2 linked regions of the Schizosaccharomyces pombe genome follow. The gene in region 1 interacts genetically with each later gene. Each region holds a gene or a part of one and is shown on either strand. Other genes may lie near its edges. The genes, in order: SPOM_SPAC5D6.04 and gcn20.

Region 1 (4,715 bases):
CTTGCTTTAAATAAAAAAAAAAAAAGTAAATAGATTTAATTGACAAAAAAATTGTTCCCCATTAATGATGCGTCAAATTTCCTTGCAAAATATCGCTTCAAAATTTTATATGACTGCAGTTACTTCCGTTTATTTTCAACAAGAAAGGAGTAATTAACAATACAGTAAGGATGCAGTGAAGTTAAAAAAAATAAATAAATAAAATAAAAATTGGAAAGAAATAATATAGAAACTGATTGATATTAGTTAAATTTTTTGTACTCACTAATAAAACCTCATGCTTTTCTTTTTTTTAATTTATATGATAAAAAATTTATTGATAATAACTCTCAAGACTAAGTGCTATGATTCTACTAACTACAGAGTTATTTCACTTCTTTTGGCTGATTTTGTTTGTCAAGCATTTCATTGATTAACGACATGAGAATTGTTAAAAAAATTTCACCATTTTTGTAATTAAATATTTACTACAAATGAAGAACTGAAGGTTTAACGTAAATTGTTACGTGACTGATAAAAAGAGGAACCTCTCAAAGGATTTTTAATACTTGGGAAGCAATTAATTAAGCATAACAATAGAACACTGTATTAATTTATCTACGGACTTCTGTATACATCTTTACATGCAAACACAATAAGCTCTTGATAAAAATAACCAGGAAAAACGGTGTTACATATTAAAATATTGCTACTGTATATAAAATCTCGTCCCTTTGAATCCAGTCTATACTTCTATAATGTTCAAACATGCTTTCAAACTTCCAACCTTCATTGAACCTGTCCACATCGCAAGGAACATGTGACCTGGTAAAGATGGCAAAAATTGTTGGGAGCAGTAGGTGCAAAAGTTAGAGCTTCGGCAGATGTTTCGAAAACAAACAGAAAATTGCAAGGAAGACATAAAGAAAACAAAACCAATAAAGCAGAAAATGTATAAAAACTAGCTATCTTCTGCTAAAACTCACATTTAAGTTACACAAAGTTGTGTACGATTGTTCTGCTATTTAACGCTTTAGCTATTTCACAACCGAACCTATGCGGTAATGAATGCAATCATGCACAAACCAATCTGATGTTTAGTACAGCTTCAACAAAAGTTTTTCGAGTTTGATCGAAAATTTAAGGACAATTAAATTTTTCTACAACAACAGAAAATAAAATGGTTTGACAGTGAATCCTCGACAATACTATCATTGGTATCAATTCCTTGCTATCCACAACTTATAATTATAGCGTTACGTTAAAATATTTTATATTATTTTTAACAAACACCATTATGTTACGAATAAAAAAGAAATTTCATAATGGAATACAAGTTGACTCAACGGATTCTATAATAAGTGTCAGGTAGGTATATCCCTTTTTTTTTCGACCATACTAAAATCAATCAACATTCATTTTTTATTTTGAGAAACTTGAAGGTGTTCGAAATTAATGTAATTTTTTTAATTGATCTGCCGTAAATATTAAAAATCCTAAAACAACGAAATCTAAGTCTGATTACGTTATAGAGATCATTTATGGATTGGCCGAATTCTTCTTTCATTTCTCCTTACAAGCATCTTATTTTTCCCTAATTTGTAAAGAAAGTATTTCATAAAGCCTCAATAATTGTTTCTGTGTATCTTTTTTTTACCTATCAGTTTCATGCGTCAGTTTGCCATTCTAAGTAACAATGTTTCTCCACGCGGTTTACTGACTTTGAGGCTTTGAATTTTTGTCGTTCTAACCTATACCTTGAAAACAAACAGGCCTTTCAGCTTAACCTACCCTTTTCATTCTGCTGTTTGCAGAGAAAAGACTTTGACGATTGAAAATTTCTGGCATTTGAATTGACTTTTGTTGGGAACATTTTGATCAATTTACTTTTAGAGTGATTACTCCTTATTCCTGTTTTTTGAGAAGCTTTTGTTGATAGACCGCATAATAATCTTATCCTATTATTTATAGGAAATACTTTTTTTTCTTGTTATACTTTAACCGGTTTCACTGTTGATCGACCTTATTGGTTTTTTCTTTTTTTTTTTGCTTTTCCTTGATTTGATTCCTGTTGTTGTGTGGAATTCGGTTTAACTAGTGAAAAAGTTTTCTTAAGGATTCAATCTTTTTATCCGTCATTTAGTGAAAAATTATGGGATTCTTTTCTTCTCTTGGCCAAATTAATGTTTGGAGCCTTCTAAGGCCCATTATCGAAAGTGACTTGGAAGTTATTGTGATCGCTTTGGGTGGTTATGTATTAGCTAAAAAAGGCTTTCTTCCTAGAGATGCTCAGAAGGTATGATTCATTTTACCCCCCGTTTTAAAGAAAAATGGAGCAGTGAAATAAAGAAATAAATTTTCAACTATTAAATTTCTTCTCTTCATTTATCTTTGCGTTCTCTAGTATTTTACTAACTTTACACAGGTAATATCCAGCCTGAACGTTTATTTCTTTACTCCTTGTCTAGTATTTGAAAAAGTTGGCAACGGTTTGAATTTGAAGATGCTGATTGATCTTTCTCTTTTACCCGTGTTTTATGTTATCATCTCCGCAGCGTAAGTATTTAAGTCATTCACTTTGCTAACTTTCAGTTCTATTCTGATATCATTTTTACTTGCAAAACTCTTCCGACTGACACCTCGCCAAAGGAATTTCGCCACTGCCTGCATAACGTTTCAAAACGTACGTACCTTACCTGCAAGAATATTGTTCGTTTGTTTTTGTTTACTAACTCTTTAGTCAAATTCCTTACCTTTGGCCTTGGTATCTTCTTTAGCTACTACTGTAAAGGATTTGCTATGGGACAAAATTCCCGATGATACACCTGATAAGGTTGCTTCACGCGGTATTATGTATTTGCTTATTTTCTCTCAGTTAGGTCAAGCTCTTCGTTGGTCCTATGGTTATCGTATTCTCCTTTCTCCGAATCAACCGGAGGACCCTCTACCTATCGGTAACCGTTCTTGGTCACATAGCGATGTTAATGAAGAAGAAATTCAGAATTTGTTGGCTTCTAGTGCAAATGTAGATGGGGTTCAAAATTCTGTTCAGGCAAATGAGGGCTCAACTGTTCAAACTGATTCTTCTGCGATTTCCAAAAATGACAACGTTCAAGTTGAAACCTCTAACGAAGAAGTTGGTGGGTTTGGAGCAGCCTCTTCGAAGATCTCGAAGTTTATTGTTTTACTGTTAGATTTCTTCAGCCCTCCTTTATACTCCTTATTTATCGCCTTATTTATTGCTGTTGTTCCTCCTCTGCAACGCTTTTTCTTCGAAGAAGGTTCGTTCGTTGAAGGTAGCATCACCAGTGGTATTCGAATGGCTGGTCAAGTTGCTGTTCCTATGATTTTGGTAGTTTTGGGAGCAAGTCTTGCTACTGATATTTCCAAAACTGAACCTACTCAAGAAGTCCGTAAAAATAACGATACTCGAGTAATTATTGTGTGTCTTCTTGGCCGTATGGTAGTTGTTCCTCTGGCATTATTACCCGCTTTCAGTTTACTCTCATACTTCAGTGAAATAAGTACTGTTGATGATCCTGTTTTTGTTGTTGTTATTTTCTTGCTTGTGGGAAGCCCAACCGCCATTCAATTAACACAAATCTGCCAACTGAATGGTGTATTTGAACGCGAGTGTGCCAAAGTTTTATGGTGGTCTTATGCCGTCTTTACTCCTCCTAATTCGTTGTTGCTAGCCTTTGCTAGTCTTTTAGTTGTGAAATGGACAAAATAAAGTTAAAATCGTTAACGTCTGATGATTTTTGTTTTACAATATCGTTTTCTGCGTATACTTTAACAATTGAGAGCACACGGAAAGTTTACTTATCACATTAATTTAACATAGTCAATTGGTCAAACGTAGTGACTCGATATTGATTAACCTGGCGGTCTTTTTCCATTTCGAAAAGCTCACATTTAATATGTTTTTATTGGTTTAACTGGTATTATTAATACCGCTAAATAGTTTTTTTTAATCTTTTATTGTTTTCTTTTTAAACTCTGTTTGCTCTTATACAATGCATAAGAAATCACTTTCCATTTTCAATTTCTATAATGTTTGGATATCATGTTCATAATGATTCGTTATTGAAGTGTTCAGCTTTGTTGGACCTCGATAGCAACTTAAGTTATATCGTCTTTCTAATATAAAGTTTATTTTATGCGGCGTTTACCACAACGTCCCAAAAATCAAATATGTTGGTATAAATATTAGTTGACCGAATTGTTTTACTATTATAGTTTGATTATTTAATCAAGAATCAAGTAACACGGCGCTCAATATTATTAAAGGAAATAAAGCAATAATAGTATCAATTCGAAGAAAATGTGAAAGAAATATTGGATCAATACTATGTTCCATAATGGCGATTCATAATGATTCTCATTCTTTCATCGTTAAGGTCGTTCGTTACATAGCTAACTACACCGCGTTGAAAACACTGCTCATTAGGCTTCCAACAGCAATTTTCCCTTACTACTGACATTGCATTGTATATTTTGTTCACTATTTCTACAACCATCAGTAGCTTAGCTTTAGTAGACGCTTAAGAGATAAAAGAAATCAATTTCGGTGAGGTGCGATGCTATGCAAGAACTGTATCTTTTAGGAGTAGTCCCCTCGAGGCGTTTTGAAGCAGTTGTAAATTCTTTATCAAAAACGTTGGATGGTCCGAAAACAATATTGGAGTTTTGGGTAGTTTACCGTCCTAAAGGTATGTCGTGAAAAATGCATATGT
Region 2 (17,308 bases), on another chromosome or scaffold:
AGTTGCTTCAGAACGAATGCATTCCTGCTGGTACCGATTTACTTTCCTTTCTTCATAAGCTAATTGCTTCCTCGAACGCTCCTAAATCTCTGGAAATATTTTTACAAGAACTCAATAACAATACCAAGTCAAATTCCAATATGAAGGTGTTATTAGTGATCGATAATATTTCTATTTTATCGGTCGTTACCAAGTATAAGGACAAAAAGAACAACTTCCTTCCCCCTAAAGACTTTTACTTTATTAATTTACTTTTCAAATATATTTCGGGTTCGCTTACTTTTAATCGTGGTACTGTTTTAGCTGCTACTTCTAGCCAACCGCGTGTTTCTACCCCGTCATTGGATATAGCTCTTGGAGTAGCTCACAGAAATCCTTACAAATCTTCTGATGAGACTATATTAGATTCATTACAGTCCGTGCATATTCTTAACATGGAGCCTTACACTTTAGATGAGTCACGTCGCATGATGGAGTATTTGGTATCATCCAACGTTTGCCTTGAAAAGGTTGATAATTATTTGCAAAATCATGTCCTTAGTGGTGGTAATCCGCGAAAGTTTTTTGATGCTTGCACACGTCTAGCATGATTGAGATATTCAAAAATTTCTATCCACTACAACTCCTTTAACGCGGTTTTATTTTTCTATTTTCTATTCTCATGTTGTTCCAAATATGTATCATCTCGTATTAGGCTTTTTTCCGTTTTACTCCTGGAATCGTACCTTTTTCACTATTCCCCCTAATGAATAATCTAAATTAGTTTCGCTTATAATTGATAGTAGTAGAAAGATTGGTGATTCTACTCGTGTAATGTTATTAGTTTAAAGATACTTTGCAAAACATTTATTAGCTATCATTATATAAAAAAAATCCTATAATTATAAATATTAATCAATATTTGCGGTCACTATTTATTTAAAACGTTATGATCAGTAGGACACTTTGCATATATATAGTTATGCTTAATGGTTACTTGTAACTTGCATGACCGAACACCATACCCCCAAAAGCAGGATTCTTCGCTTTCTAGAGAATCAATATGTATACCTATGTACCTTAAATGATTATGTACAACTTGTTTTGAGAGGGTCGCCGGCAAGCTCGTATAGCAATATATGCGAACGCTTGAGAAGCGATGTACAAACGTCCTTTTCTATTTTTCTTCATTCGACTGTAGTCGGCTTCGACAGTAAGCCAGATGAAGGTGTTCAATTTTCTTCTCCAAAATGCTCACAGTCAGAGGTATATATATTTTTGTTTTGATTTTTTTCTATTCGGGATAGCTAATATATGGGCAGCTAATAGCGAATGTTGTAAAACAGATGTTCGATGAAAGTTTTGAGCGTCGAAGGAATCTACTGATGAAAGGGTTTTCCATGGTAAGGTATTCTAATTGTGAAATATTTACCTGCAATTACTGTTTCAAAGAGATTGTATTTAACCGATAAAGAATCATGAAGATTTTCGAGCCATGCATGTAAACGGAGTACAAAATGATCTCGTTTCTACTTTTCCTAATTACCTTATATCTATACTTGAGTCAAAAAATTGGCAACTTTTGTTAGAAATGTAAATACCGGTTAAGATGTTGCGCACTTTGAACAAGACTGACAAGTATAGTATCGGCAGTGATGCCATGCATTACTTATTATCCAAAGGAAGTATTTTTGAGGCTCTTCCAAATGACAATTACCTTCAGATTTCTGGCATACCACTTTTTAAAAATAATGTGTTTGAGGAAACTGTGTCAAAAAAAAGAAAGCGAACCATTGAAACATCCATTACTCAAAATAAAAGCGCCCGCAAAGAAGTTTCCTGGAATAGCATTTCAATTAGTAGGTTTAGCATTTTTTACAGGTCATCCTATAAGAAGTTTAAGCAAGGTAACTAATACTGTTATCCTTCATAACTAATTTTAGATCTATATTTTAACTTACACTCTATTTGTGATCGGAACACAGTACACATGTGGCTTCAATGGATTTTTCCAAGGCAATTTGGACTTATAAACGCATTTCAAGTGAAGCAATTGCACAAAGTGATTCCACTGGTATCACAGAGTACAGTTGTGCCCAAACGTCTCCTAAAGGTATACCCTTTAATTGAACAAACAGCAAAGCGACTCCATCGTATTTCTCTATCAAAAGTTTACAACCATTATTGCCCATATATTGACACCCACGATGATGAAAAAATCCTTAGTTATTCCTTAAAGCCGAACCAGGTGTTTGCGTTTCTTCGATCCATTCTTGTTCGAGTGTTTCCTAAATTAATCTGGGGTAACCAAAGGATATTTGAGATAATATTAAAAGGTATTGTATAAAATTTATTACCACTAACGATTTTACCAGACCTCGAAACTTTCTTGAAATTATCGAGATACGAGTCTTTTAGTTTACATTATTTAATGAGTAACATAAAGGTAATATGCCAAATTTTTTTACCATTAATTAACAATCAGATTTCAGAAATTGAATGGCTAGTCCTTGGAAAAAGGTCAAATGCGAAAATGTGCTTAAGTGATTTTGAGAAACGCAAGCAAATATTTGCGGAATTCATCTACTGGCTATACAATTCGTTTATAATACCTATTTTACAATCTTTTTTTTATATCACTGAATCAAGTGATTTACGAAATCGAACTGTTTATTTTAGAAAAGATATTTGGAAACTCTTGTGCCGACCCTTTATTACATCAATGAAAATGGAAGCGTTTGAAAAAATAAACGAGGTATTTTAAAGTATTTTTTGCAAAAAGCTAATATTTTCAGAACAATGTTAGGATGGATACTCAGAAAACTACTTTGCCTCCAGCAGTTATTCGTCTATTACCTAAGAAGAATACCTTTCGTCTCATTACGAATTTAAGAAAAAGATTCTTAATAAAGGTATTAATTTTTGGTCATCAATGTACTTTACTTCTAATCTATTATTAGCAGATGGGTTCAAACAAAAAAATGTTAGTCAGTACGAACCAAACTTTACGACCTGTGGCATCGATACTGAAACATTTAATCAATGAAGAAAGTAGTGGTATTCCATTTAACTTGGAGGTTTACATGAAGCTTCTTACTTTTAAGAAGGATCTTCTTAAGCACCGAATGTTTGGGTAATTATATAATGCGCGATTCCTCATTATTAATTTTGCAGGCGTAAGAAGTATTTTGTACGGATAGATATAAAATCCTGTTATGATCGAATAAAGCAAGATTTGATGTTTCGGATTGTTAAAAAGAAACTCAAGGATCCCGAATTTGTAATTCGAAAGTATGCAACCATACATGCAACAAGTGACCGAGCTACAAAAAACTTTGTTAGTGAGGCGTTTTCCTATTGTAAGTTTATTTTTTCATTGGAATTTTTTAACAAATTCTTTTTTAGTTGATATGGTGCCTTTTGAAAAAGTCGTGCAGTTACTTTCTATGAAAACATCAGATACTTTGTTTGTTGATTTTGTGGATTATTGGACCAAAAGTTCTTCTGAAATTTTTAAAATGCTCAAGGAACATCTCTCTGGACACATTGTTAAGGTATACCAATTGTTGAATTGTAATAACACTAATGAAACTAGATAGGAAATTCTCAATACCTTCAAAAAGTTGGTATCCCTCAGGGCTCAATTCTGTCATCTTTTTTGTGTCATTTCTATATGGAAGATTTGATTGATGAATACCTATCGTTTACGAAAAAGAAAGGATCAGTGTTGTTACGAGTAGTCGACGATTTCCTCTTTATAACAGTTAATAAAAAGGATGCAAAAAAATTTTTGAATTTATCTTTAAGAGGTGAGTTGCTGTCATTCCTAAGTTCTAACCGTTGAAGGATTTGAGAAACACAATTTTTCTACGAGCCTGGAGAAAACAGTAATAAACTTTGAAAATAGTAATGGGATAATAAACAATACTTTTTTTAATGAAAGCAAGAAAAGAATGCCATTCTTCGGTTTCTCTGTGAACATGAGGTCTCTTGATACATTGTTAGCATGTCCTAAAATTGATGAAGCCTTATTTAACTCTACATCTGTAGAGCTGACGAAACATATGGGGAAATCTTTTTTTTACAAAATTCTAAGGTATACTGTGTAACTGAATAATAGCTGACAAATAATCAGATCGAGCCTTGCATCCTTTGCACAAGTATTTATTGACATTACCCACAATTCAAAATTCAATTCTTGCTGCAATATATATAGGCTAGGATACTCTATGTGTATGAGAGCACAAGCATACTTAAAAAGGATGAAGGATATATTTATTCCCCAAAGAATGTTCATAACGGGTGAGTACTTATTTTAACTAGAAAAGTCATTAATTAACCTTAGATCTTTTGAATGTTATTGGAAGAAAAATTTGGAAAAAGTTGGCCGAAATATTAGGATATACGAGTAGGCGTTTCTTGTCCTCTGCAGAAGTCAAATGGTACGTGTCGGTCTCGAGACTTCAGCAATATTGACACATCAGGCTTTTTTGTCTTGGAATGAGAGATGGTTTGAAACCCTCTTTCAAATATCATCCATGCTTCGAACAGCTAATATACCAATTTCAGTCATTGACTGATCTTATCAAGCCGCTAAGACCAGTTTTGCGACAGGTGTTATTTTTACATAGAAGAATAGCTGATTAATGTCATTTTCAATTTATTATATACATCCTTTATTACTGGTGTCTTAAACAATATTATTACTAAGTATAGCTGACCCCCAAAGCAAGCATACTATAGGATTTCTAGTAAAGTAAAATTAATCTCGTTATTAGTTTTGATTGACTTGTCTTTATCCTTATACTTTTAAGAAAGATTGACAGTGGTTGCTGACTACTGCCCACATGCCCATTAAACGGGAGTGGTTAAACATTAAAAGTAATACATGAGGCTAATCTCCTTTCATTTAGAATAAGGAAAGTGGTTTTCTATAATGAATAATGCCCGCACTAATGCAAAAAGACGAAGATTATCTTCTAAACAAGGGGGATTAAGCATATCCGAAGGAAAAGAGAGTAATATACCCAGTGTTGTTGAAGAAAGCAAGGATAATTTGGAACAAGCTTCTGCAGATGACAGGCTAAATTTTGGTGACCGAATTTTGGTAAAAGCCCCAGGTTATCCATGGTGGCCGGCCTTGCTACTGAGACGAAAAGAAACTAAGGATAGTTTGAATACTAATAGCTCATTTAATGTCTTATATAAGGTTTTGTTTTTTCCTGACTTCAATTTTGCATGGGTGAAAAGAAATAGTGTTAAGCCATTATTGGATTCCGAAATAGCCAAATTTCTTGGTTCCTCAAAGCGGAAGTCTAAAGAACTTATTGAAGCTTATGAGGCTTCAAAAACTCCTCCTGATTTAAAGGAGGAATCTTCCACCGATGAGGAAATGGATAGCTTATCAGCTGCTGAGGAGAAGCCTAATTTTTTGCAAAAAAGAAAATATCATTGGGAGACATCTCTTGATGAATCAGATGCGGAGAGTATCTCCAGCGGATCCTTGATGTCAATAACTTCTATTTCTGAAATGTATGGTCCTACTGTCGCTTCGACTTCTCGTAGCTCTACGCAGTTAAGTGACCAAAGGTACCCACTTTCAAGTAATTTTGATCATAGGGGAGAAGCAAAAGGAAAAGGAAAGCAACCTTTAAAAAACCCGCAAGAGAGGGGCCGTATATCTCCTTCCTCACCTTTGAATGACCAGACGAAAGCACTAATGCAGCGACTACTTTTTTTTCGCCATAAGCTACAAAAAGCATTTCTTTCGCCGGATCATTTGATAGTTGAAGAAGATTTTTATAACGCCAGTAAATATCTAAACGCAATAAGTGATATCCCGTTCCTGAACTACGAATTGATTACTTCTACTAAATTGGCAAAGGTCCTGAAGAGAATTGCTTTTTTGGAGCATTTAGAGAATGACGAACTTTATGATATTAGGCAGAAATGTAAAAATTTGCTTTACAGTTGGGCTATGTTTCTTCCAAACGAACCATCGATAAAAGGCATGTAGTGTTTCTCAACGTCAATAGAAGCTGATTTCCTATTACACACGACACCCTTTTACTTATGCTTTGGAGTACCGGTATTGCATACCAGATCGGTGGGAAGCAAGTTGTTATCATGAATACTCTAAGTAAGATGCGAAGCGCTAGTTTGCCGGTTGTTTAAATTTAATGTTATCATCTAGATACAATTTTTACAGTGTATTTTAGCAGTTAAGTTTACGTTAAATTAGTATTTGTGGCTATTCACACAAGAAGGTAAAATTCACATTTCTTTGGCAATATACATTGTTCAGTTGATGGTTCCTTTTTTTTTTGAAAGCGGCCTACAAGATATATTTCTAATTCACGTGCCTTTAGAAAATTGCCTCTATTTGTCTATATATTAATTAACGAAAAATATCAAAAACTTTAAGCAGCAAAAATTAAGTACTACAATTTCATCCAATACGACTATACCTTTAGTATCTTCGTATTCTTTTTTTTTTGTCTCCTAAGTCAGTTTATCTGTCTTCACAATTTTTACGAAGCATTGGATTCTTCAAAAATCTATAAAACGCTACAAGGCTTTAGTGCGCTAATTTAATACGAAGATGTAGACTTCAAAAAAAATGTACGACAAAGAACAGTTACCATATGCATTGAGATTATAAGCTACATATACTAGTGAAATACACAAGAAAGGAATTTCATTTTCTACTCAGAGATTAGGATTCATTTTTACTAGTCAAAGAAAAGAATTACTCCTCTTCGGCTTCTTCACCTTCACCACCCTCTTGTTGAGAGCGGAGACGCTTTCTCTTGCAGCGACCAGGGCGACCACCACCATATGGAGAGGAAAGAGCAAAGTCGATATGCTTTTGGGCATCCAAACGGACAACGAAGGAAGGAACATTGACAATTTGCTTACCAACACGGATGTGACGTTGGAAGATCAACACACGTGCATGATGGATGGACTTAGCCAAACCAAGCTTAAAGACTTGAGTTTGCAAACGACGCTCCAAAAAGTCCTCGATACGGAGAGCCAACACATAATCAAGCTTCATACGGGACTCATCCAAAATGCCCAAACGAACAAGACGACGAATGATGGCATTTCCCTCGAAAAGACGCTTAGGATCCTTCTCGTCAAGGGTCAAAAGCTCACGAGCAGCACGACGGATTTTAGAAAGGGTAAGTGCTACACGCCAAATTTCATGCTTATTTCTCAAACCATATTCACCAGCAAGCTTGAGCTCGGCATCTAGACGGGCCGACTCGAAGGGACGACGAGGAACCTTGTAAGTCTTGGATTGCTTACGAGGAGCAGAAGGCATTGTTTGTTTGGTGCTTTGCGCAACCTACCTTTGCTATGTATTTTCAAGAAGGCACAACAGTGACGGCTTTTTGAGATACTGTAGTATTAGGTTAGGGTTTTGTCCCATCACCATCCCGTACCGATATCCTTACTACACACTATTCCTACTAACCCTCTAGCTTATATCCTTGTGAAGGAAAAGCAGAAGTTAGATTTGTAAATAGAAGGTGTTGTTTATTTTTTCTAAAATAGAAGATCACATATGTAAGGGATACACTGTATCTTGTGAGTGCGTATTAAACTCTATTTGAAGATATTAATTGCACAATCCTGTGAGTGTTGTGCTGTTACTGTCTCTTTTTTGGTTTTTCTCTGAAATTGATCATAATTATTGACGATTTTACTTTTTTTCGAGTTTCAAAATATAAAAAACAAGTTTTTTTTTAGTAGTTCATCTTACATGGGTGGTGAACTTCTGAATACTTTAGACTATACATACAATTTAGACGTACATATACGTACTTACATAAAGAAAGAGGATTTCGATTACTTCATTTGTTTAGATAAGTCGAAAAATCTATTTTTGCTAGAATATTGATCTTTATTTTCTTCTCTCATTTCTCTCTATTTTATTTCTGAAGGATTGATCAAAAAATGGGTTTACCAGTTCATAACCAGCCCCATAAAGCACACTCGGGCTCTCCCGCATCTACCTTTTCCGCTGCTCTGGTTTCTTCTGCCATTAGCAATGTTATTGGGTATCCTCTTGACTCGATTAAAGTTCGACAGCAAACTTACAATTTCCCAACCATTCGCTCTTGTTTCCAAAACGCTGTTAAAAACGAGGGATTAAAAGGTTTGTATCGTGGTCTTACTCTACCATTGATATCAGCCACTCTATCGAGGTCAGTATCATTTACGGTGTATGATTCCTTAAAACTTACATTTGCTCATGTGGATCCTACACTTCGGTATTTCATTTCCGGGCTTGGGACTGGTACTTTTATATCACTTTTTGCTTGTCCATTCGAGTATTCAAAGTTATATTCACAAATTGACATGCTTCTTCGCAAAACAAATATGGGCCGTCGGCAAGAGACAAATTCCAAGCTAAGTGTCAGACCTCCCTTGTCATCTTTCCAGAGCGCTTCTGACATTGTTCGGAGGTATGGATTTACTGCATTATGGAATGGGTATCGTTATCATCTAACCAGAGACGCTCTAGGATCGGCTTGTTATTTTACAATATACGAAACCTTTAAGAAAAATCTGATAGCGAATGATGTGAAGCCGCATTTTGCTTATGCCTTCTCTGGTGCTTTTTGCGGCGCTTTGTCTTGGATTTTGGTATTCCCGGTGGATACAGCCAAATCCATTGTACAAAGAAATACACTCTTATCAATTAAAACCCCTTTGTCTTCCATTCCTTGGTTATCGTTTACTATATATCGAGGTATAGGTATTTCATTGATGCGAAGCGCTCTTATAAATTCTTGCAATTTTACGCTTTTTGAATTATTTCGGGAAACTAAAGTATTAAGCAAATAGTTTTATTCTAGTTTTACGAAGTCTTTGTTGTCCATTGAGTCGATAACCCGTCGGAATGCATTTCTATACATATTTTAACTTGCATTCGACTTGCGGTTGAAGTTTAATCACATTTTAGAACTGGTTTTGTCGTATATATTTAAAGTCCCATGGAATACTTTTACAATTTTTTTGATGCTATTTATTTTTTATTAAAAGCATTTTTACCTTCAAAAACTCCCCTCTCATCACTTTTCATATCATGTGCTGCTGTTAGTTTGACAGTAATTCCACTGAACTTGTTATACATTTCACGAGTTAACCGTTTCAATCTGAAAGTATATTTTCTTTTCCTCTTTTCCCTGTTTTTTTTTGTTTTGTTTTGCTTTTTACGTCCTGTTTTGGTTAATCCAACTCTTTCAATATCTGTATGTACCTACGCTTTTTTTTCTTGTATAGTTGAATTTTGTTTTGTAGATTTTTGGTAGAGGTGTAAATTGGATGAAATTTTTGAGACTAATAGTCCTTCTATTTCAGCGATTGTTTATTTGGGCATTTAAAACTTTAGCTATTAGATTTAGTATGTTTAATGTACTTTCGGACAATGCTGGCTTTCTTACTCAATACATGCTACCTAAGTGAGTTACCACTACCATCCACATATATTGTGAAGGAAGAACAATGTCTCGAATTTTGGTACGTTATACATTGCTTTTTTTAAGAATTTAGGAGCTAATATATAGAAATCACTAAGTCGTAGTTATTCGACCACCTCCCCTCGTCTTTACGGTATGAAATGACATTTTGATTTTGATGAGATTACTAATGGCAATTTAGTCGATGTAGTACAGGGTTTATATATTTCTTCTTTAAGTATGTTATTATATTCTCTTAATTTACCAATTTCTTACACGTCGTGTCTTAGAATCATATAAGCCTAAAGCTGTCCCTTCCGAAACGGCAGCTGAAGTAAAGGAATGGTCCATGCCTAGCGCTCCTACTGCTCCAAAATACGATGTTGACTTTACTTCTGCTTTAAACTCTTACAAGTATGAGGGAGAAACCATTCCCACTAAGGCTGCTGGAGAAAGCAACAAATTTGACTTTCTTGAATCAGTATGTATCTCTTCCTTTACATTGCATCAGCTAACTTTTCCTTCAGTATGAGAATGAAAAAGAACATTAAATTTATTCACTGCTTTTCCTATGCTCAATTGGAAGATGTTTGGTAATTAACTTTGATTAAATTTTGCCTTTTATTTTCCGATTATGAATTTACATTTTCATCTACGTCGTTGAGATTTGATTTTATATCTATTTCATGCCTTTGTCTGATCCTTCTTTTGATTGACCACGAACGTGGATGTATCTCTATAACTCCCGTCTCACTATGATTTATATTCTAGGTTAACGTATCCTTTTTCTGCTTTCTAAATGTCTTTGAACATAGCTGAATTCAATGCTTAGTCGTCTCTTCGATTACGGCACGAAACAGTTGTTGCCTTGATTGATAGAAAACCACTTTCATTGAGTTGAGATGTTTTTCTCTTTGCAAAGTATTTCTATTGAGTTCACATTTGGATTTTTTTTTTCAATTTATATCAACTCAATACAATTGCTTTTATTCAACAATAAGGATTAGCTTGATAAAATTTGATGTCTACTGTGGGTCATTAAAAATATCAGTAAAGTTCACAGTAGTTTTCTTGGAATTGTAATTTTTTTTCTTAAAAAAATATATAATTCACTATTATAAGGTATTTAGTATATTTTCATGCCTAGTCTCATCGTTTTGCCGATTGAGGCTTCATATATAGCAGTAGTATAACTTGCTTAGTACTATCCACCTCACATCCAACATGGAGCAAGTCATTCAGAATAATTGCTCTGAAGTAGACCCTCATGTCCTCAGCTACTGCACTGGATATGCTAATGATGCTATTAAAGATGTAGATGAGGCTTCAGACCATACGATCTCTCTCATTCGTAATTTATTGCTAGATGCTGGCGCTCGTGAGGAAGCGGTACAGCTCATACAAAACGAACTAGAGAAACAATTTAAAGAAAGAGAGGAACATCTAGATACATTACAAACGAATGGACTTGTTCGTTTGAAGGAGACTATTCGAATGGATTCCCAATCCGAAATTTCGTCAACTATGGGTTTGGTTGGCGAAAAGATGGAATTAGATGCTGTAAAGGGCCGTAAGGTTGAATCTAGGGTAGATAGAAGAAAATTAGAGAAGGCTGAACGGAAGATTCGTGCCAAATGGGAGAAACGTACTATCAAAGCAGAATACGAATCTTCAAAGTTGGTTCAACCCGAACAAAAGTCTTATGAAGAGTTTTACATGGCTGTAAATCCTCTAGATTTATCCGGAAGTAACCAAGGAAAATCGAAAGATATTAAAATTGATGGAATTGATCTTGCTTTTGCTGGTCATCGTATATTGACTGGTGCTTCGTTGACACTTGCACAGGGTAGACGATACGGTTTAACTGGTCGCAACGGTATCGGTAAATCTACTCTTCTACGTGCTCTTTCTCGCCGTGAAATTGCGATTCCTACCCATATTACCATTCTTCATGTTGAGCAAGAAATGACAGGTGATGATACACCTGCCCTACAGTCAGTTTTGGATGCCGATGTTTGGCGCAAGTATTTGATTCAGGACCAGGAAAAGATAACTAATCGTCTATCAACGATTGAAAAAGAATTGGAAGAACTTAGTAAAGACCAAACTGCTGATCAAGCTATTTCCCGTCGCCTTGAGCGTGAACGAGACGAACTTGATTTACGGTTGTTAGATATTCAAAATAAGCTTTCCGAGATGGACTCTGATAGAGCAGAATCACGCGCTGCTACTATTTTAGCTGGTCTTGGATTTACTCAAGAAATGCAAAGCCATGCTACCAAGACTTTTTCAGGTGGTTGGCGTATGCGTTTGTCATTGGCACGTGCTCTGTTTTGTCAACCAGATTTACTACTTTTGGATGAACCTTCGAACATGCTTGACGTTCCCTCAATTGCTTTCTTATCTGAATATTTACAAACTTATAAAAATATCGTTTTAGTCGTTTCACACGATCGTTCTTTCTTGAATGAAGTTGCTACTGATATTATTCATCAACACTCTGAGCGCTTGGATTACTATAAGGGTAATTTTAGTCAATTCTATGCTACTCGTGAAGAACGTTGCAAAAATCAACTTCGTGAATATGAAAAGCAAATGGAATACCGCAAACATTTGCAATCATTCATTGACAAATTTCGTTATAATGCTGCCAAATCATCCGAAGCACAAAGTCGTATTAAGAAGTTGGAAAAACTGCCGATCCTTGAAAAGCCTCAAACTGAGGAAGAAGTTGAGTTTGAATTTCCACCTGTGGAAAAAATATCTCCTCCTATCTTACAAATGTCTGATGTCAATTTTGAGTATGTTCCAGGTCACCCTATTCTCAAACATGTTGATATTGATGTTCAAATGGATTCTCGTATCGGTGTGGTTGGTCCCAACGGTGCTGGTAAATCAACAATGCTTAAGCTTCTTATCGAACAACTTCATCCAACATCTGGTATAGTTAGTCGGCACCCCCGACTTCGTATTGCATACTTTGCACAACATCATGTCGATACTTTGGACTTAAACTTGAATGCCTTAAGCTTTTTAGCTAAGACATTTCCTGGCAAAGGTGAAGAAGAATACCGTCGTCATCTTGGCGCTTTTGGTGTTAGTGGACCTCTTGCATTGCAAAAAATGATCACGCTTTCTGGTGGTCAGAAATCTCGTGTTGCGTTCGCATGCCTAGGTCTACAAAACCCTCACATTCTTATTCTAGATGAACCCACCAACCATCTGGATATGGAGTCCATGGATGCCTTGACAAGAGCTGTTAAACGCTTCCAAGGTGGTGTGATTCTTGTTTCTCACGATGTTGATTTCTTGGACAAGACATGTACCAGTATTTGGCAGTGTGACCATAATGTCGTCTCCAAGTTTGATGGAACAATTTCACAATATAAGAAATTCTGTCTATCTCAACAGCCAACCATGACTATAAAAACTTAATGGAATAGCATAGACTTAAATAATAATAATATAGCTGGCGAGGATAAATAAAATCAAATTCTTTTATCTATGAATCTGGATAAAATATGTAAACGAAGTTAACTACATTTTATACAGTAAAAGACATGAAGTGTTAAATAAGATTAAAACAGTAAATTAATTATAGCTAAGTAAGTCATAACACGGTAATGGACAAGAAACCTGGAAAGCATGCAAATCATCAACCAACACCCAAAAAATAAAGAGAACAAACCCAATCAATTAAAAAGTAAAGAGGAGGAAGGGGAGAAGAGGAGAAAATAAGGCGGACCAAGGAAATCAATAGCAGAAAAAAAAAGAATATACAGACTAGTAAACAAAAAAAGAAAGAGAAAGGAAAAAGTTAACTCATTAAATTCGTTTAGGAACTTGACTAGAAAACCTCGAAGGATTTGGAAAAAAGGACATGGGAAAAGACGTAGGGCGAGAGATTGATGGAGAGGAGGAAGATGAAGGTTGAGTTTTGACGGCGTTGAACGATTTAAAATTCTGAGAGGTGAAAGACTTTGGAGGAAGAGGAATGGACGGATAGGTATTAGAGGTTAAAGGACGCTTTGTAGAAGTATTAGTAGCGTTAGAAGAAGAACGTCCAAGGGGATGCAATTGGGGAAAGCTCCGAGAGGATGAAGTAGCTGAAACAATATGACGGGTAGCAGAGCCTTTTTGAGAAAATCACTTTTAGCTCTCGCCATTAGAGAACTTTTTGGACAATAATTACTCATGGGACGCGGACGCTTAGGAGGCCGAGCAGCTCTAGGCTCACGCTCTAAAGGAACAATTCGCTTGTTTTGTTTACTTTGCTCTAGCTTGGTGTAAGCACTTCGAAGCTTAGCAGAAGCAACGTTATAATGAGCATTTCTTTTTTTCTTAAGTTTTCCGTAGAGCCCTCTCCAATCATCAATATTGTTCAATATAGTTCGTTTTTGAAGTTCTAATCCAAAATCACGCAAAACGTGATCTTTCCACAATGGTTGAGTGTCAACTTTCAAATGAGGCGACTTTTCTTCCAAGTCTATTAAATGTTCTGGTCTAGCTTTTTCCAGGATAGGTTTTACGAGTTCGAATGGGCAATCGCCAATATCATCGATGTCGTGCACATGCTTCTGCGCGACTTGGATGCACAAATCTTTTAAAGAATACATCGCTCATATGATAGTAATTTTTAAAAATTTCAAAGAAAACGATCGAATTAGAGCTCTATAGTCTTCAATTGGAAGAGTGCTTTTACCTTATTTGAATGTAAACAAAACCAATTCAACGGGGGAAAATGTGTTTCAAAGAAGGAAAGGTCCAGAATCTATCGATTAGCTAAATTCCTTTCCTTGTTAGTATATGCGTATAAAACGCGGAGAATCTAAGTGCGAGTAAAAAAAAATTCCAGATAATTGTTTGTTTCCGACAAGTTGAAAAAGACGGCGAAGCAAACCTATTTGTTCACTTATACAAATATATTAAAAAATAATTAAAATCTTTAATTTGTTAACTCGGTAAAATCGTTAAATTATCGCTAAATAAATTTATCGACCTTTATCAAATTTTCTTCATTCAATTTACGAGTTCTCAACCACCGTTTCGTTATAAATATTTGCGTATTCAACGTTAAAAACCGTAATTATCCTTCTTGCCTTTCCGGCCCAGTGGAAGTTCCAATGACGCCGCGGAAGGGCTGCACACCTCAGTAGCGAATATGGGGAAAGAGCAAATTCATGCTTGCCACGATGACTACCTGGATGCTTGATGTAGGTGACGTGTTACTTAAGATGAAAATGTAAATACAAGAGAAGAAATGGGTCAAGAAGGCGATTAATGGATGAAAAGAGAAATTATTCATAGAAAAATTTTTCCTTAAATATGCGCTTTTATTAATCTTTCGTTTAGGTTTTTTTCTCTCGTAAATTAATTCAGATATAGGTATTTAATCAACATTGCCAATTTCAACAAGTTTTAGGGGTTACGTGCAATAGTTTTATTGTTCTATTGTTTTTTAATTCTTCTCTCAATCCTAACTCTTGAAATTTTGTCGTACAAGACATTTTTCGCATTTCGTCAAGTTAAATTTTATGTTAAACTAGAGTTATTTGCGAATTAGGCTAATGAGCAGAAACCACTTGAATATACAAAATTTTATTTATTTATTTATTTATTTATTTTTTTTAAAAAAAGAGTAAATGGTAATTAATCTACTAGAAGCGTAAAAAGAATTGTTCAATACTTCAAAAAGAAAAATATGTATATCATATATCAAACCAGATTAGCAATCAATGCCAATAGCTTTATTCATTGAAAAAATAAAAAAAATAAAGAACGGTTATAGATGAGTCAATTAATTTCGTACTTTAACGTTAGTTGGTTTATTTCGTTTTTGTACAACATTATTTACTTTTTTAAATACTTAGTTCCTGCTTATCATAATGAATATAGCTAGCTTCATTAGTTAAAATTATTAGTATAGTTTTCGAAATTGTAAACGCTACTATAGTTTCTTTTTTCTGTAATTTCCTAAATTGCTTCAAAACAGCATTTGCAATGCAGCACATTCTCAATTAAGAGCAGTTGTAAGCAAAGAGCAATGAGAAATCTTTCAAATTAGATAAAATGAAGTACAGTAAGATCCACATATTCAACAAAGCTATCCTTTCCCTTTAGTGTCTCTGTTGCTATCACTTATATACGAAAGCATGGCATTGGAAGCGTAAAATGAATCATTAATTTTGCAGATGTAGTTTTCTGGGATCAGGAAATAAAAAATTTAAGAAATTTCAAAAGAACTTGAGAAGAAATTGATGAACTAGTTGGTCTGTAGGCAAAAGATCAATGATACCAAATTGTTTCCTTGATAAAAGTCCCATTGCCAAACAAGAGTATAAGTTAAAAGAAAGTAAAGAAATAAGGAAAAATATAAATTGATGATACAACTATACTATCAAACTATTCTTTGCAATTGTCAGTTTTAAAGTTGAAACCTATTTCCTGTAGGATAGACAAACGAGGAAGCAAAAAATACCAATAAAAATGTTTATGATTTTCAACTAGTTATGTATAATTTGAAAATCACTTTAAATTGACTCTCTATTGAAATCACCGCCATGTCAGTTTCAACTCTGATCAAAGATCTCATGAACTAAGGATTGCATTTGACATTTGGAGTTACCAGGTAAAAGAAGAGGAAAATTTTGGTAAAAGGTTGAACCGTTTTGTCTACGATCTGTTGGTCCATTCGATTTCCCAGCATATACCTCTTCTTGTCCAAACCACGAAACGTAACCTTTAATATTCATGTCTCAATCTTTTCTACTATAATTAAACTCACGTATAGGATTGACTATACAACATCAATCTCCAAGCTGTGATAACGAGTATTTTCCATCTGATCCCAACCAACCTTTTAGGAATATTTATCCTTTCCAAAGCAAACCAAATCATTTCTTTTCGAAATTTGATTTTTTTAACAAAAAGTGTTAAGATCGTAAAAATAACAAATGCCTCCATCTACAGTTAATCAAGAAGTCAATTCTATCCTATTCATCAAGAACTTGTCTTTTAAAATTACAGCAGAAGAGATGTACGATCTTTTTGGTAGGTATGGTCCTGTACGACAAATAAGGCTGGGGAATACGGTTCAAACAAGAGGTACTGCATTTGTGGTTTATGAAAACGTTCAAGACGCTCGTCGAGCTTGCGAAAAGCTTTCTGGCTACAACTTCATGGATAGATACTTGGTTGGTACGTTATCTTAGGGAATGTATTAGCTACTATTAATTTTAATTTCTCCTTTCTAACGGCTTTTTAATATCTTCTTGTTAACTTTTTTTTTAGTGCATTATTATAACCCTGAAAGAGCTAAGGTTGATGGTCAAGATTTGGCAGCAAGGTATGCCGCCTTGGAACAAGTTAAGCAAAAATACGGTGTTCAGTGAACGTTTACTATTTATTTACCAAAAAAAAACAAACAAATTAGGAGTCTGATATTGACTCCATTAACGTGTAATAGATTTCCTCTTTCTATAAATTCTGTTGAAGAGAACATACAGCAGAAAAATGAATCGGCTCATATTAAACAATCGTTTACTAGTGTTTCGAACCTAGGTATAAAAAAGGTACTATAAGGACTTGAATTTTATTATATTTCGCTTAAAGCTTTTTAGTAATAATAATGTAATGCATTGATCTATAATATAACAACGTCTACATGTAGTATTAAGATTTGAATCCCTAATAAAACGTATCCAAATTTGCCCAACCGTATTTCCCAATTAATAATTTTATCTGGCACAAACTTCAAATCATAATGAGCTAGTTTCCAAAGTCCAACCCTTCCAGCTTCATTACCAACACATAACTCACCACCCTTACCAAAAGCTAGGCATGTAACTCTGCCTAAAGGC

Evidence for each region.
Region 2: mutations in SPOM_SPAC5D6.04 (region 1) and gcn20 together harm fitness more than expected from each alone (negative genetic interaction), as found in Schizosaccharomyces pombe (one large-scale study listed by BioGRID).

What each region holds. Positions count from the first base shown.
Region 1 is NC_003424.3:1,504,588-1,509,302, reverse strand, and holds SPOM_SPAC5D6.04 (auxin family transmembrane transporter), read left to right. Parts: upstream 1-1,727; 5' UTR 1,728-2,131; coding exon 2,132-2,275; exon of another isoform or gene 2,276-2,404; coding exon 2,405-2,535; exon of another isoform or gene 2,536-2,571; coding exon 2,572-2,662; exon of another isoform or gene 2,663-2,719; coding exon 2,720-3,712; 3' UTR 3,713-4,215; downstream 4,216-4,715. Other genes in the region: mediator complex subunit Med18, read left to right, coding at 4,565-4,691.
Region 2 is NC_003423.3:2,049,790-2,067,097, reverse strand, and holds gcn20 (AAA family ATPase Gcn20), read left to right. Parts: upstream 1-10,655; 5' UTR 10,656-10,673; coding exon 10,674-12,884; 3' UTR 12,885-12,957; downstream 12,958-17,308. Other genes in the region: rsm23 (mitochondrial 37S ribosomal protein mS29), read left to right, coding at 1-590; telomerase reverse transcriptase 1 protein Trt1, read left to right, coding at 988-1,245, 1,302-1,382, 1,454-1,572, 1,624-1,886, 1,923-2,315, 2,355-2,425, 2,465-2,734, 2,775-2,891 and 8 more; PWWP domain protein Pdp1, read left to right, coding at 4,916-5,995; rps902 (40S ribosomal protein uS4), read right to left, coding at 6,728-7,306; ort1 (carboxylic acid transporter), read left to right, coding at 7,942-8,835; atp14 (F1-ATPase subunit H), read left to right, coding at 9,496-9,510, 9,558-9,603, 9,652-9,687, 9,740-9,930, 9,977-10,000; sap14 (Pre-mRNA branch site p14-like protein), read left to right, coding at 16,403-16,646, 16,740-16,840.